3 linked regions of the Drosophila melanogaster genome follow. The protein of the gene in region 1 purifies or fractionates together with the protein of each later gene. This does not show direct contact. Each region holds a gene or a part of one and is shown on either strand. Other genes may lie near its edges. The genes, in order: side-IV, 18w and beat-IIa.

Region 1 (4,877 bases):
ACCTGTAATTTCAATTTCCTGTCTGCTGGCTGCCACTTAAAGTCGCTAAGCGATTTCTAATGGAAGCAATTAAAACGTCAGCCCCCGCCAAATATATTACCCTTTCTCCCAGCGGAGAATCCGCAGAAGTCGTAAACTTGATTTCCTATGCACTCAAATCGGTGGCCCCATGGGCGCTTTGTTCGCACATGGAGGTGCGAATTTTTCAGCCTGAAAGCAGATCAACGATATTTGCATACTCCAACAAACTAAAACTAGGGATGCCGTACGACTATCTGCGGGGAATTGGAGGTGTATGGGGGACTCGGACTCATCGTCGGCATTAATAAGTATAAATAACTCTTTGATGGGCAGCCGGTCGTGAGCTGGCCGGCGACTTTAGTTTGTTTAGTTTGCTGGCCATTTGTACAAAACACCTTTAGCTTCTACACGAAATATGACAAGAAATCAACCGAAACCGGTTTCGGCGTTCGATGTAATGTGATTTTTGTGAGAAATAGCCAGAAAAAAGCCCCACACTGGAAAAAATATTGTCCTAGGCTGACCAAGATATTATTTAAATAAAATGAGTACAACATATTTTATTTTGAAAACATTGCGGTAGCACAATGCTTATAAAGAAATGCTAATTCAATATGATGAAACGTATTCATTGGAATCTTCTTTTGAAAAATTCGTAAGCATTTCTAATCTTAAAATATGTGTTTTTCGACTTTTGACTTTATTACGATATAACTGGTTTCACATTATGGCTAAGCACACAATTGTTTTAATGGATTTCTGCTGTTGTACTAGACACGCTGACATTTAATAATTTTATAAGAAAAAACAATTATATTTCTTGCAGTGCATAGGAAAGCCGAGGAAAAGGCAGCAGTGTACGGATACGCCATGCTTGAAATGCTAAAAGATGTTTGTGAGCCCCGTTTGCTGGGTTGCCGATGTTGTCTCTGTTGCCGGTTGCTGTGGTGTTGCTAATTAAGATTACAGACATCGATACTTTTCGAAAAGCAGTGGCACGTACACATATGCTATAGCCTTTAGCCGCCCATATAGTATAACCCGATATGCGAGTAGCAAGATGGCCAGAAGCAAAGGCAAGGCAAGGCATCGGCTGATAGCCTCCCTAAAGTGCTACATCAACGCCGAGTGACAGCGATGAGGCTGTGGCTCCTGGCTTATTAATTATGTAGCTTAATTTGCGATTATGCAGATATGCATGAGCATAAATTTTGAGGGAAATAAGCAGCCAGATAACTCACCTGCTAATGTATGTGCATATATCCCGTCCGATTTCATTCAATATTCCATGTTGTTTTTATACTGCCCTGCTACAGTTTGCTTCGCGTTGTTTGATTTCGATTCGATTTCGACTATGCTTTTGGTTTGGTTTGGATTTGTTACTTTGTTTTATTTTGTTGGCCAGCTAGTTTTTTCTCTAATGAGCCGCAGACACGCCGTCTGAACGGATGAATCTGCGATGAAACCGAAAGAGATAGATGGTTAAGAAACCCGAACCTCTTAACGAACTTGAAACTCGCACAAAAACCAATTGCACTCTTAATTGGCCAAGATTTACGTTTCGCACCTCCCTTGGCAATTTAGTTTTGATTTCGTTAAGCTCACACTTCATTTACTATATATCCATACATATATATACATATATATGTATGCACTATCCGCACGTTTGTCATTGTGGCCAAGTGTAATCAAGTGCCGTGGAGGATCTCTCGAATCTGCTCTCGTTTTGACAACTATTACCATAACAAATCAGCGCGCCTGCCACTGACAGGGCCAATTGAACTGAACCGCGCACAGGGAGCGATGACAAAAAAATATTTACACGGCGCCCGACTATCGTAGGGCCGGGTTAAAGGGACATCTGATTGTGGAAGGTGTCTGGAGGGGAGTGGTTCAGGGATCAGGGGAAATGGCAACGAGTCACCAAACAACGACGCCCGTGCCGAGGCCATATCCTTGCAGCCTTGTAGTCCGTATTCCTTCTCTCTGTTTTTTTTTTTTTGTTGTATGCCACAGTCGTAAATTCCAATTATCGACGAACTCGAGGCACGGCACCGCAAACCGAGCAGCCAGCCCTTCCTTCGAGTGGAGTGGATCCGCTGAAGTGGTGGCAACTGGAGTTGGGAACTGGGGGAAGCGGAAGGGAGCTTGGAACCGAAGTGGAGCAATTTTCAAAGTCAGCCGCGGCAACGTTTGTTGCTATTTTAGTCTGCCGGGATTTTCATAAGATTTTTTCCGCTTTTATAAATATTTCTTTTTCCATGGCTAATCCTTGAGGTTTCAGACAGAGAATTCAGCCGCCCGTTGTTGTCGTGGTTTTTAACAAAATAATTTAAATACTTTTGCAGCAGTTCTTGGGGGCTTGGGGGAATGCAATTATATAAAGGCTTCGAACTATTTTACTCAAAAACTCAGCAATACGAAATTTGCTTTACGTTAATTGAATAAATTCCAATTTGGTAGGCAATATTTTACTGCATTACAAGTTTAAACCATGACCTTTTTCTTATGTTTTTTAAATTTATACTCAGCACTCAAAGTATTATGATAAACTTTAAAGGGTCATTGGAGTTAGTAAGCCACTGAGTAACTTTACAAGTTTAATTTTTCAATAGCTTTTAGCACATGTTTAAGTCAGAAATTAAGATTTCGTTTTTATTGAAGAGATTTTGGTAAATACAAGGCCCATTAGAGATTCGAGTGCTGTTGTAAACCGGTAAGATTTAATCCGACGATGCATTACCACTTGGCCAATGGTTGGGATTATACTTGGCTTGGCTCCTTGAGGCCACACACTTTTGCGATTGCTTGTATTCATTCATTAGGGGTATATTTGCATTTATCACTTTTGATGGTTTTTGGGGTTTATGATGGTTTTATTAAGCACTTGGCCACCAAATCCTGTATCCTGAGCACAATGCCAAACACCTCTTCTATGGCTACTCACACAGATACACCGCACTTGTGCGTTTGCAGAGCCGACTTCACTTGTGTGTGGGTGCGAATACGCGTTGGTGTGCGTTACGTTGCGAGTGTGTGAGTGTACGAGTGTGTCCGTGTTTCGGTGTGTGTGTGTGTATTTGTGCGAGGGAGCGCTTTAAATGGAAACCCTGGTGCGAACGGATTGGGCTACATTTCCACTTGGACCGCTCGCGTTTTCCGACAGCAACATGTGTACCGTTATAGCTTCGCGTATCTACTGGATACCCATCGTCGGAGTTCCACTCGTCGATGCGTTTTCCTCGCGACGTCTGCTTTGATTTGAGTTCGAAACTCGAAATTCGAATAGCCAGCCGAAGAGAAATGCCCGAAAGAGCGAGCCACACGAAACTTGGCATACGATATTCGGATCTTAACAGCGACCTATATCGTATGCGTATGCCTTTAGCCCTCCTGCTTTAAAAGCCACTACTAAAAGTGGTATTGACAAATTTCCTCTTCTTACGGGTCGCCAACAAAAGAACCCACCACCCACTTTCTGCTTATTTATGCGTAAAGATTGCCCCTCAATCCGGAGATATTCGCTGCGATGGGCGATAAAAGTTGTCGCTGTAAAAGTAATTAGAGCTAGACACGATTACACCATGTTCCATATCGGCAGCAGATACTCCCTGCTTAACAGATGAATAATCGTTTTGGCAAATATTCGCGGATGTTGTTGGGGGATTTCCACATTAAGTTAGGCCCAAGTATTAGGCCTGCTTGACTTGAAAGTTGTTGCCTAGATGATAGAAAAGCATTTTAAATTGCTATTCAGCGATGGCAAAACTTATGAAGATATTAAGAAACCTTTGTTTATTTATTGTCTATAAAATTGGACATCTAATTTTTTGTATGTAGTACATTAGCTTACTACAATTTGGTTTATAGCAACATTTTAAAATACACTTACAAAGGAAACTTAAACAAATTGTATTATAATCATTCTTCGATTTTTCCTAATAGTGTTTTTAACCTAAATACTTTATTTAAACGAGCATCTTTTAAAAGATTTTCTTCGAAAATGTTAAGAAAAGAAAATTCCAATTCGGATTTTGTTTTATTGTTTGAATGCAAACAGCGGTAAATGGATTATTTTTGTTTAAATTTGTACTTCCTGCATGCATCCGCTACATATTAAGAAAAATTACACCTTAGTACACAGCAAATTAAAGCCAAGTAAAATATTTTTCAAGCACTGGAAAATGAGGCCTGTCGGAAATGAGCCTTCGCGATGAATAATAATCCCCTAGACAGCCAATTGGAAATTAATTAAATCGAACAATATTTGCTCGCCTGAATTATTCACTTTTGCGGCACAACATTGCGCCTTAATTCAGATTCGACCAGAGCAGATGTTATTCATCATGCGAGTGCTGCTGCATTGTTGTTCTTTATCAAGTGATTGATGCGCAATATCCACACAATTTGATATGGAAAGGAAGTAGTAAAGAAGCGCCCGAGCAATTTGCGCCCGGCCAAAACCAAACCAAAAAGCCAGAGAAAAATCCCCGCCGAGTGCAGTCACCTGGGATTGGGGAATGGTGAATGGTGAATGGGGGATCGAACTCCATTGGGTGCCCGTGCCTGGCCTGGACTCGAATCGATTCCCCTCCCGTTTCTATGGAATCTGCGTCGGGTCGGTGCCGTGCTGGGCATTAAATCGTTAAAGTAACATATACAAATTAATGCAAACAAATACACGAGTGCCGCATGAAATGCATTCGACTCCCAGACATTTCTCTCCAATGACCTGACCGTTTGGTGGTGCTCCAGATCTTGTCAATAGTTACGACTTTCCGATGTGCCACGGAATGCTAAACAGATCAAAAGCCTGGCACGTGAATGCGCCGCGCCGCATCCCCCAAGATAAACCG
Region 2 (7,876 bases), on another chromosome or scaffold:
ATTTTATTATTTTATTTGGGGACATTAGCCGATGATAGAGTTGCGGTTTGCCAAAGCATGAAAATACTGTGGGGCGGCAAAAAAAAAACAAAAAACGGGGAATATGCAATTGCAAATGGCGAGTTAAGCAAATGTGCAAAATACAATTTTCGCATTGGACCGCATTTTAATTTTGTTTTATAATTTCGCAAATAATAATTTACATAAAAGAATGTCCGAGTGTGGGAGTGGTTGTGGCATATGCAAAGTGTTTGTTTGAGTGCGTTTTCCATTAATTTATTTATGTACAATTATTTACAAGCAATTAACTTGCGCATAGCTTTTGTTTAGTTGGTTTTCGCAATTCAGTTATGCGTTTGGGTTTTAGTTAACGTTTGCATTGTGACCTTTTGCATTTCGCACAGATCAAATGCCGAATGGAAATGAATAAACTACCATTTTCCTCTTTCAGTCCTTCTGGGAATAGTGTCAGTTGCATGTTTGGGGACACAGCAGGCTTCGCTTCTGCGAAAACCATAGGTGCTTTAATTAATTTTTATCATTTTGGTGTTGCTTCAAACAAAAATTCCCCCTGAATTCCACCCGGGATGAGTAAGAAAACGTGTGTGATTTAATTTTTGTCAATATTTTGTAATGTTTTTGCATTTTATTTTCTCAGATATATTTCTCTGCTTGGTTTTATGTAATTGTAATAATTAATTTAATAATACATTTTTTCATTAAGTAAATTTAATTGAATTAATTTAGCTCCATCATCTCTATACAGTACGATACATAAATACATTAAGTGCTCTAAATGGGTTTGCTCCTGCGATTTTTCTATATACATATAAGTTTATCAAGTATTCATTTAGTTATTGTTTCGTGTAGCTTAGGATGAATGAATCGACAAACACGATCAACTGGATGCGAACGAATGTGTGTACATATTTCATTAGGTTTACTTTAAGTTGTAGTTAACAATAGTTTAGTTTAGTTTAGTTTTAGGTTTACGTTCTTTACGCCTGGCTAGAACTACTACATACGTCTACGCATTACAGTAAGGGGCATACTCTCGTCTGCCGATTTAATTATAGTTAATTAATATATCACATTGAATTTGAAAGTGTTTCTGCAACATTTCTAGTAATTGTTTCTTTACGTTTATGGTAATTATATTAGAATAATGTATTCCTATATGCTCGTATATGAATGTGTTGTGGGCGTGTCTTGTGCGTGTTCCTTATTTGGCAGTGCTACACAACTACGAAACTTCAACAACCACAACATCCAAAGGCGAAATGCTCCGACAAAAAAAATACGTATAAATATATTGTGTTTCAAGAAATGCCTACGAAAAGTCTTTTTGTTTTGGATGTGAGTGTGTTGGTGTGTGCGTCCTGTTCCTGCTTCCTCTTCCCGAGTCCTTTTACGCCAGTGAGCGATCAGCTTCAAGATGGCCGCTCCTGCGGAGAAGAACCCTGCGAGGCTGAGTGAGATGGATATGGCCATAGGGGGAGTTTTTAGACCAGGAAAGCTTGGCCGTTCTTATTGGCCGCTTCACTGCCAGCTGCCTGTTGCTGCTGCTGTTGCTGTTGCTGCTGCGCCGCTGCTGCGGATGTGGAGGCCTGGGCCGTTGACTGAGTGCTGGTGCTGGCCTGGCTCAAACCACTGCCGCTGCGCAGGTGCACCGGCGCGGAAGGAGCGGGAATCGCCTGCTGCGGCATCGCCCGGAACTGCGGTTGCAGCAAGCGCTGTTGCTGCTGCTGTTGTTGTTGCTGATGCAGACGCAACTGCTGCTGCTGGTGCTGATGCATTAGGCCCGTGGGAATCATCGACAGCGCCTCATGCTGATCATACGCACTGTACTCCGACTCGATGCTGTGGTAGATGTGCTCTGAGGGCGGACGCATCGGCATGGGCATAGAGTCCACGATCCTAGCGGCTCCTCCTGGTCTCGTTGGGCGTGGTGATGGCGTGGCCGTGGTGGCTGAGCTATAGTTCGCCTCCATTTCCTCGGTGCAGTAGTAGGCTGGCGGTGGTGGCGCCTGGCGGAAGATCATGCCCGGCGACACTGGCTGCTTGAAGCGCTCATGATGGTCCAATGTGTAGTTGTTTCCACGGGGCGACAGCTCAATTGGGATGGCGTAGCGCAGCTTCTCCCAGAAGTATCTGTCGCAGGTCAGCAGTCGGTTGGAGGGTACCGATTTCAAGTACGGCGACAACTCGGCAACGTCCTCGGCCTCGGCGGAAACACTTGTCTCCTCGATGATCACCAGCTTCTGGGCCAAGCCCCTCAGGGACTCGTGGAAAGCATTACGGAACTCAATGCGATTCCATTCGGTGGCCAAGAGATTGCGGGTCAGCACCAGGATGATCTTCCTCGACGCCCTTGCTCCCTCCACCAGCTGAAGGTGGGATGCCTGGGGAGGCAGATCTCGCTGCTGAATGCAGAGCCGGAAGGGTGGTCGACCATGCTCCAGTTCGGCGGCGATGTTGCGGCACACAAACTCGTAGTCCTTCTCCGAGTGCAGGATGATGGCGTCGTACAGTTTGCCGGCATCCTCGAAGCGGGGCTCGCACACCCTGACTCCGTAGTGGGCGAAGAGCCACATGCGCACGCTCTCGCGGAAGACGAAGACAATGATGAGCACCACGACCAGGAAGATCAGCACTAGCACAGCGGCCAACAAGGGCAGCCTATAGCCTCCGGCCAAATCCTGCGAGGAGCTGATATTGCTGGCACTGGCATCCAGAAGGTCGGAACAATCGGGTCCGTTGGCCAGGTTGCCAATCAGTTCCAGCTCGCGCTTGATGCCCGCATCCAAGCAGTAGATATCGTGGGCATCCCGCACCACCATGGCGTTATCGGAGACAAACTGCGCCAATTCCCTCAACTGCTGGCAGCGGCATGACCAGGCATTTCTGCCCAGCGTCAGTCCCTGGAGGCTGTGACGATATTGCAAATGGGGCAGGGAACTCAGGCGGTTGTTGTCCAGACGCAGCACCTCCAGGGACACCAGTGGCTCAAAGGTGGCATTCGAGATGTGGGTCAGCATGTTGTTGTGCAGATACAGCTCCCGCAAAAGTCCCAGGGAGCGGAACTCGGTGCCTTCCAGGGCGGTTAGTTTGTTGTTCTCCAAGTGGAGCACTCGAAGATTGACCAACTGGGCCAGACTTCCGTTCTGCAGCGTCATCAGATTGGAGGCGTTCAGGTAGAGAGCCCGCAGATTGCGACGACCGGTTAGGTGGCCAACCTCCAGCTCGGGCATGTTGTTGCCATCCAAGTAGAGATCGCTCACATCCTGAGGGATACGGTTGGGCAGGGCGGCCAGATCCTGGCGACCGCAGTCCACGATGTTGGTGGCCCAGGTGGCGTCGTGGAAGCAGCTGCAGTTTCCAGGGCAGATCACTTCACACTCGCACTGTTCGTACTCGCAGCAGTGGCACGTGGGCGGGCAGTGGCTCTCATACTTGCACACAAAGTCGGAGGCGGAGAGACTGGCCAGCGGACGCAGTGGAGCACTGCGGCTGTGCGGCATCAGGCACTCGATGTTTCCCAGATCCACAACATGAGGATGCTGGCGGGTGGTCAGATTGTTAATCCTCTGCAGCCACTCCATGGAGCAATCGCACTCAAAGGGATTGCCGCCCAGGTAAAACTCGGGAACTGGTTTCTCCGCTGAAACTGGGGCTACGCGTAGAGCATTAAGCGAGATTTTGGACAGCACATTGGCATACAGATCCACGCGTGCCAGACGCGTCTTGTCCACAAAGGTGTTGGCCTGGATCTGTCCAATGATGTTGTTGTTGATGAACAGCAGCTCGATGGAATTCGGCACCGACATGGCGCCAATCTCCGTGATGCGGTTGTGAGAGGCATCCAGCGTGGTCACACGAATCTCCTCTTGCAGTTTGTAGTAGTTGCCCAGGGCTTCGATGTAGTTTCCATGGATATCCAGCCATTTCAAGTTCGATGGGATGAAGGCGTAATCGAACCAAACAAGGTGATTCTCGGAGAGATTCAGCCACAGCAAGGAGGCGAGAGTGGCAAAGATTCCATTGATGTCGGTGAGGAAGTTCTTGTCCAATCGGATCGCCTCGATCTCGGTGTTTTTGTCGAAGGCTCCACGCTCGATGCTCTGGATGCGGTTCTTGGCCAGGTTGAGAACACTCAAACGGGGCAGATCCTGAAACATGCCTACGGTGATGTTGCCGATGCGATTGTCGATCAATCGCAGACCCGTCAGCTGATTGAGATTGCGGAAGGTGTTGTTCTTGAATTCCGAGATCTGATTCTCTCCGAGATCGAGAGTCTTGAGCATGCTCAAATCTTGCACAGCCTCGGGCACTTCAGTCAGCTGATTGGAGCTGAGATCCAGTTCCTTCAGATCGGAACAGTTGCGGAAGGCTTGCGACTCCACAATGCTAACAAGATTGTTGTTTAGCGTGAGTTTCGTCAGCACATACAATCCGTTGAAGATGCGGTTGTCCAGTGTGTGCAGGCGATTCTCGGCGAGATTGAGGGTGTGCAGATTGTACAGGGGCAGGAATGCGCCCTCCTCAATGTGGCCAATGGAGTTGTTTCGCATGTCCAGAATCTGCAGGAAGTACAGCTCCTTGAAGGTTTTGGATCCAATGCGGGTGAGGGCATTGTTCGACAGATTCAGCACAATCAGGCGGATCAGACCGGCGAAGGTGCTGTTGTCAACATGGTGGCTGGTCAGCTGATTGCCACTCAGATCGAGAACTAACAGCTGCTCCAGACGGTGCAACAGACCTTTGGGCAATTCGTACAGATCATTGCCCTGCAGATGCAGTTCCCTCAACTCCTTGTTGCCGGCAAAGGCTTCTGAGGGCAGGGAAACGAGGTGGTTGTACGAGATATTCAGCACTCGCAGCGAACTCAGACCGGCCAGGGCATTGGGAGCCAGGGTGCTGATGTTGTTGTGTTGCAGGCTGAGGGTCTGCAGGCGCCTCAATCGGGACGCTCCCCAGGCATCCGGCAAAGAACGCAGCTCGTTGAACGAGACATCCAATGTCTGCAGCTCTGAGCCTCCGCTAACTGCTCCATTGGCATTGCTCAGGGCTGAGCCGGCACAGAGTTTCTCGGAGAAGCCTAGGAACTCGGCGGAACGTATCCGGTTCTGGGTGAGATTGAGCAGTTGCAGGCTGGGCATGGAGCACCAGACGCCCTCGGGCAACTGACGGATATTGTTGTCGCCCAAGTGCAGCTCGGACAGCTCCTTCAGTCCCTGGAACGACTGGCCGTGCAACTCCAGGGTCTTTCCCGGACCCCAGACCGCGTTGTGTGACTCCAGGGTGAGTCGCTTGAGCGACATCAGACCCTCAAATGCATTTGGAGGCACTCGCTGCAGTTTGCAGGCATCGATTCGCAGCTCCGAGAGCTTCTGCAGTTGCCGGAAGAGTCCCGGTGCCAGTTCACTGGCATGCAGGAGCTCCTGGCTGCACTGCAGATCCAGGCGGCCGGCCGCCTCCGCCACCTGGAGGTCAAGTGGCGTTCCGGTGCCGGACTCCAGAGCGCGGACACTGCACCGGATGTCCATGGTGGTGAGGCCGTACTGCCAGTTGCACTGCTGCTGCGCATGCGCATCAGCCACAAGAAGCAACAGGCAGGCAGCGACTGCGATGATGGTGATGATGGAAGATGTGGCTGGCATTTTGGTGATTTGCTAGTTGGCTAGTTAACTTTAAATGAATTTGTTTAATTTGTAGCTTTTTAGCTGTAGGTTGTGGGTTGCGTTGGTGGTGCACAACTCAATCACTTTCTGGTTTTCATTTTTCGATCGCCTTTTTCGCAGCCCGAGTGCTCTGTAATCCTGGTGTGAGCTGGCTTTGCGTTTTGCGATTTTTCACTTTCGTTTCGTTTCTTTGTGATTTCTCTCAACTCAACTCATAAGTTGGTAACTTGCGTATTTTATAATAATAATTTTAACTTGGCACTTGGCGCGACTCAGGGTGTTCGACTTCGTTTCGTTCGGCGAGAGCTCGTTTTCTCAAAACATGTTTACCGCCTCGCGTTTCGATTCAAACTGATTGCTGGAGTTGGCCATCTCGACTCCGTTGGCTCGTTGAAAATGTGAAACCGACGACGGCGCTGCCGAGCTGGCAGAGCTCACACACACACAGCCGGCGCCGCGGCAGACAGACAACACGGTACGCGTGCATGTGCATGTGCATGTGCAATGCACTCTCACGAGCGAGCACACACACATGCCACGCTGTCGCTGCGCTGCTTTCGCTCTCTGCTCTGCTGCTGATACACGCACACACACAAGCACTGCATTTCCTGCCTGCTGCATATGTCGCTCACACACACGCTTGGGAGAGCGGAGCTCTCTCTCTCTCTCCCCGAAAGTAGGGGAAATGTTGCACACACACATGGGCATGGAATGGGGGAAACAGAAATCATTAACCCTACGCTGCGCTCTCTCAGATTTCCGTCCACACAATTAGCACTAGGAAATGGAATAATTCCGTGGGGTTAGGATGGGTTATCAGCTATCACTGATAGTTCGACTTGCCTCAAGTGGGAATTATTTCAAAATTAACTGAGGGCATTAAAAAGCTATCTGATCATTTGTAAGTGCACTGTATTAAATCGATGCTTTTACAAATATAAACAAATATATAGCAGTGGTTCGGCTTATTAACACTTATTTCAATTTAAAGATCACAAAATTGAATTTAAATAAAGTTTTGTCTTCTTATTTTGTATAAATAACTTTAGAAATTGTGTATTTCCAACCGCCTAGATTCTATATAGGGTTAATAGAACCTGCAACAGGCTGCTGCTGCTGCTAGTTGGCAACATTTCGCCCCTGCCCACCCCCTTAACGATGAAAATTCTCCGGCTCAGTTCGCTTTGTCGCCTCGTGTTGCACTCGCGATATGTGTTGCATGTATATGGTGTAGTATGTTGCCTCAGTTTCAGCATGTTGCATGCTGCTTGCCTCTTAACAGCTGCTGATGTTGCTGCTGTTGTTGCAGTTGCAATTGCTTTTACTGTTGCTGCTAGTGCTTTTGGTGCTTTGGACCACGTTTTCTGCGGTTCTCCGCAGTGTTTTGTTGTCGTAAAATGCCTAATCTATTGTCGTATGCTAAATATATTTTAGTAATATTGGTGGTGTGTGTTGCAGCAGTTGCTGTCAAACATTTCATTGGGCTTCTTGGTGGGAGTTCGAATTTGTGACATTTGCACTGGCAGACTAGTCTTTAGGTTTCTTGTAGCGAAGTAAAAACTCCTGTAAATCCCGTTTTTTTTTTTTAGAATTGAAAACATCCGTAATGGGTTGTTTGAGTTTTGACTTTGCTGCCATTTCAAGTGGTGAAATTATTTGCTACACAAAAAAAGCCACACATATTTGGCACTTTGAGTGGCTCATGGAAACTTGTTGGTGCTCTTTATTGCCATTGCCATTTGCTTCATCATAATTTTCAGGTTTATTTACTCGCAGCTACTGCTGATGCTCGCCTCTCGGACCATAAATATCGCACATGAGTGTTGCATGCGACGGCAACAGCAGCACCATCAGTAGTAGCAATATTACAGTTTGAATACCACTATTATGCCAACTTGTGATTGCAACTGCGGCAAATGGGCTTCACGGAACTCCGGATGGTTTAGCGTCACTTGGGTTCGCTGTTCTAATTTCGCAGGTCTCTATCACCTGGCTGGCTTTTTCGGCTGTCGACTTATGCCACTTAAAATTACATTAAAAAACTTTCCGCCAAGAGCAACAACTTTGCTGCTGCTGCCCTACTCCCCAAAAAAAAACTGAAAGCTACAAAAAAAAAAAAAACAAGAAACGTAGAGTTGGAAACTTTGCCCGGCTTTTGCCATCCCAATGCTGCTGCCGTTCTAGTTGCTGTTGCT
Region 3 (5,064 bases), 3.9 Mb from region 1:
TGTGGAAAAGGGGATTCCCCCGGCTTGATAGAAATCATGCTGAGTTGTGAAACGTAAAATTGAATTTACTCTGCCGCTCTGCCCACATTACCCCACTCACACCGAGATTTTCCATGTGGCCGACAGTTTTTCACGCTTTTCCCCACCAATTGTGAGCGGGACAAAGTCTGCTGACTGCGTCGACCCGTTCCAGTCATAAATCATTGGGCATTTGCCATATGCAAAGGGCTATTGCTATCACTAAGTCCGGCATTAAACTCGGCTTTGACTTTCATTCACCCAAAAATATAACATGTACAGCTGCGTCCAAAACCCGAGTTATAGTTGGTCAAGAGCTATAATAGGCACGAATCTTTTTATTTTTGCTTAATCAAACTTGGAAATACTGCCAAATTTTAATTCAGATTGAGATAAGGATTCTTTTTCCCTTAACTTCTAATCCTTTGCTACTAATTCTTTTACCACTAATATTTCAAACAGCACTGTAGATTTTCTCACCATCGATACCCTTATCAAATGTACAACGTTTTCCTGGTAGGTGAAATTTGCTGGTTTTGCAAAAACAAAAGCTAATGATTTAGTCTATGTAAAATGTATATCTCAAGCCAAACTCTGCATGTAATCAGCTTAAAGTAGCCCAATGGAAGTGATTCAATTGAATCCGGACGAGTGGAGTTGAGTGAGTTGTCGACTGTCTATTGTTGTCTGTTCGGTTGAATTGTTCATGTAACTGTTGCGGTCTTGGCCATGTTTGCAGCCATTCCTGTTTATTTAAATGTAATTAATCTCAGTAGAGCTCAGACTTCGGACTGGCCGCAGATCCAGCTTTATCATCTCATTTGGATTCAGGTTGGGGCTTAGGCAATTAGTTGCCAGCTAAGTGGGCGCTGTTGAAAGTGGGCGGGGCCAGCGGCTCCTGTAAAATCTCATTTCCCTCGGCCCGGCAGGATAATCCTTATTTGGCTCTACAAGCCGTTTATGTTTAGTTTTTGGACCCTCATCTCCAGCGCCAGGGGAAATGGTATCTTCATAAACAATATAGATAAGTGAATAATCAGCAGTGGCCCACAGCTGGATGTTGAACAAGAGATGAACGATTAGTTCTGGAGCCCACTCATAAATAAGTTGTACTTCTGCAAACACCTTTCTAGATGTTTTAATTAAAAGTGCTTGTTTCTTTAAACTTGATTAAACTTAATTATAGCACACAGTGTTGCATCAGTATATAGGATTAATATATCTATTTTTTATTCATGGTGGGGAGTTTCTGATTATTCCATTTAAAATCCTTTTCCTTGCGTTCCATTTTTGTATCTGAAATGATTTTTTGCCAACGGTTTTGGCTTTAAAAGCGAACGCAATCTAACCGGCCCCAGTGTAATTAATCCAATTTCGTTGTGCGATATTTCACACTTAAAAATCAAACTCTGGCAATTTGTTACACTCCCTCGCACGCACCCGAGCACCCGAATCTGAACCAGGAATCCAACCCAAGCCCAAACCCAAACCGATGCAGAATACGAGCCAACGATACACATGAGACGACGCCGCTTGAAGCGTACTGAAGTGGAGCAAATGGTGAACGGAGATGGGGCGGATCGGATCGAATGGGATGGGATCGGGCGGGCGTTTGGTTGGTAGTACGTGAGCCCCGCCAAAAGTTGCGCAAATAAATGGCAGTGAAATTTTATAGCACACTTGATAATTTCAGCAATAATTCAGAGCGGCTAATCACCGCATAAATAATCTTAAGGACAGCCCTGCTAAGCTCCACTCGCCACAGCAAGTACATCGGACCAATGCGCATATATGCGCCCGATTTATATGTACTCGTATTTATTTGTCTACTTCGCACTGACTGTGCACAGTGCATGTGACGGTAGAAACAAAAAACAAACTAGGGGGAAAAACATCCAGAGACACTTGGAGACAAAAAAAAAAAGAACAGAAATTGAAATAGGAATAGGAATATATATGTACTCCGATATAGAGAAGTGATGGCTAAGCGGCGGAACAGAGAAGCAAACACGGACCAGCAGCATCCAAAACTCATGAAATCGAGAGCTCGCTCGAATGGAACGTGAGCGAAATTTTTGCTAACGAATGTTGACTCTGCCAAAGTACTAAAATCAAATAAAGCCAACAGCTACAACCAAAACAAAAACAGCAAATCAAACAAAATCAACAATCACTTGGTAGAAGTTAGCCCAAGTTGATGAAGACAAACGCTGGACTGCGCCAAACGGAGACGAAGTTTTCGGACAAACTATTCGGTCATATTACAAAAAATTAATATATAGATATAGAGCATCGCCAACTTGTGGATCAGTCAGTATTTAGAAGGAGCAAACAAAAGCCGTAAATCCATAAAATTAACTTTCAGCTGGCAAGTCACGGTTACGGGGTCCCAACTCAAGATCCTGTTTTTGGTATTGTCTGACTGTCAGTCTGTCAGTGGAAAAACAACGAGGACCACAAAAATGTAGGTTATACACATACACACACACACAAATACACAAGCTCACGCATACACACAAATAAAATAGAAGGAGATACATTGCGTATACGCCGCATGTGCCACGCGAATAGCGGAAAAGAAATAAAAGGCAGAAAAACAACAAAATAAGAAATTTAATGCGAACGCTGCGTGAACCGAAAGTTTAAAGCCAACCAAATGGCAGTCAGGATGGCAATAATTTGTATAACTTTATGACGGCACAGGATCTAAGACTCCTATGCCCCCGAAAAATTAAACTTGCTTGAATAATTTACCAGCAAATTCGCAGACTCCAACTCCAAGCGTGGTGGTATCACTTGATTTTATTTTTCGAGTTTAACTGACGCAATGTTTGAACACTTTTCAACCTAAGCACTTTTCCTTCGAATTGTTTGAACTTGATTATATCAGCGAGCTTTGCACTTTAATGTATTTCCTCTATGGGGCTAACATTCACTCTCATATTTCCTTGGGTGTTTTTGTATTTTTTTCTTATTTTTTATGATTTTTGTTTTTATTTTCCGCACCAAACAATTCGCTGGCCAGGCTCGTGGAGCACGGCGATGGCTTCCACTTTCCACTTTCACTGCCAAACCGACCGTTAAATTCAACGTTCGCCACGCATCTGACTGATTTGCTCGCTGGCCATCAGATATGCACGGAGGCTGTGTACACGCACCCAGAAATCGGAGTCGGCATATTTCGTCACCCGAACGACGTCCTCGCCTCCATTCGTGGGCATTCGTGGTCTCCGACTCTCGTTTCCGGACGGATTGTATAACACTGGGCCGTGATTTTGAATCGGCTAAGAGAGAATGTCCCTGGAATTCGCCGTGTTCGGTGCAAGCCTTTCTGAGTTACCTATGGTCATGGTTAAGAGAATTATGTCTGTGAAGAGAATCTCGGAATCAGCTGAGCGTAGAACAGTTATCTGGGCGAGGGAAAGGTCCTTCATCGTCTGAGGATAATAGTGGGAGCAGACTTTTGAAATTAACAGCTGTTTCTGTTGAAGTGCGCAGAAGCAGATTAGGTATAAAAACAGTAAAAAATAGTGGTAACAGAACAAAAGCTGGTTTTTGATAACCGTATAGATAGTAATATAAAGGCAATCAAGATTCGCATATGCACTTTTAGTGCGAAAAGTTAATGCATTATAATTACATACCACAAAAAAACGTGAGAATCATCTTATAGTTGTTCCATACTATTTTAGCGCCTTAATTTCGTTATTTTTATAATGAGAATGTTTTGAATTTGCCAAGCTAATGAATTTCCGAAATATTAATCCCAATTTACTATTAATTATGCAAGTGAAAATGGCTGGCAGTTTCTCATATCCAATATTAAGTACCTTTCCCAGAACGATGCACTCATAAAACAGTTCCATGCCCCCCAACCACCCAATCACCAAAAACTCTGTTCGCCGTTCTCGGGGCACTCAAATAAAAATGATTGTGCGAAAGACGTAAAGCAAACAGCCAAGTCACAGATCAATATAATGAACCACCGAAAACCAAGCCAGAATCCGCAACAAATTGCCGGGGAGTCGGAGGCTAACGCTGCAGTGGCTCAATGTGGATTTTGATTTAAGTTTTAGCACTGCCGCGCACTTATCGAGCAATTGAGGAACAGGAACTGCGGGGGACAGGGGATGTCATATGCGGCATTCCAATGAGAGCCGAAAGTTATTTGCAATACACGAATACGAATACGAATCGATACGATATGGCCACCCAAAGTTGATATATGTGCGGCGAGCTGGTATCATCCCAAAGTGCACATCATGATTTTATTAAATGGACTCTGATGTATTTATTGTCCAGCAACAACGTGACTTGTGAATTGATTTCATTAAACTGAAAAAGTTAACAAAGCATCGCAGCTCGGCCCCGGCAACATTTTTTGGACAAAGTTGCCCAGATACCCGGATCGCCGGATAGCCATAGCCATAGCCATGGCCGTGCAGTCCGGCCGTATATCGCCATATAGATAAATATTTTTTTATAGCAATATGTGCGAGTGTGTGCTGGCTTAAGGACATCTATCGTTAGTGGCCAGGAGTGGAGACGAAGGATGAGTGAGCCTCAATGACCAATGGCAACAGCGGCGCGCATCGAGCGTGGAATATCAATGTAGTCGAGTGGCCAGGAACGGAACCATCACCAAAACGAGCACCATCCAAATTCAACCAACTGGCTGCCTGCCTGACTGACTGACAGACTGACCGAATGTCAGTGTGGTCCTGGCCTGCCATCCTGGATGGTTCTTGGCCCGAACTGCTTTTTGTTGACCGCTGTTCGCCACAAATTGCCAAATTGTGTGAGTGTGCGGCTTTGGCTTTGGCTTTCGATTTGGCTACGGCTTTGGCCAGTTTCATTTTGTACAAATAATGATGATAATGTTGATGCGGCTGTTGACTTAACGCACATAACGCTGATTAGCCACATAGTCCGAGAAAGCAATAGCATTCCCCATATGCTCTGGGTCTTAATTGAAGTGATACCAATTTAGCCCCAGATTCCAGAAATGGTACGCATATATAATGTATTCCACGTCCTATAAAATGC

The links.
Region 2: the proteins of side-IV (region 1) and 18w purify together in Drosophila melanogaster (affinity purification with western blotting; one large-scale study listed by BioGRID). This does not show direct contact.
Region 3: the proteins of side-IV (region 1) and beat-IIa purify together in Drosophila melanogaster (affinity purification with western blotting; one large-scale study listed by BioGRID). This does not show direct contact.

Annotation. Positions count from the first base shown.
Region 1 is NT_033777.3:13,448,816-13,453,692, reverse strand, and holds the start of side-IV (sidestep IV), read right to left. Parts: upstream 3,104-4,877; 5' UTR 2,765-3,103; intron 1,476-2,764; 5' UTR 1,263-1,475; intron 1-1,262.
Region 2 is NT_033778.4:20,109,669-20,117,544, reverse strand, and holds 18w (18 wheeler), read right to left. Parts: upstream 6,035-7,876; 5' UTR 5,661-6,034; coding exon 1,503-5,660; 3' UTR 613-1,502; downstream 1-612.
Region 3 is NT_033777.3:17,362,994-17,368,057, forward strand, and holds the start of beat-IIa (beaten path IIa), read right to left. Parts: upstream 3,127-5,064; 5' UTR 2,773-3,126; intron 1-2,772.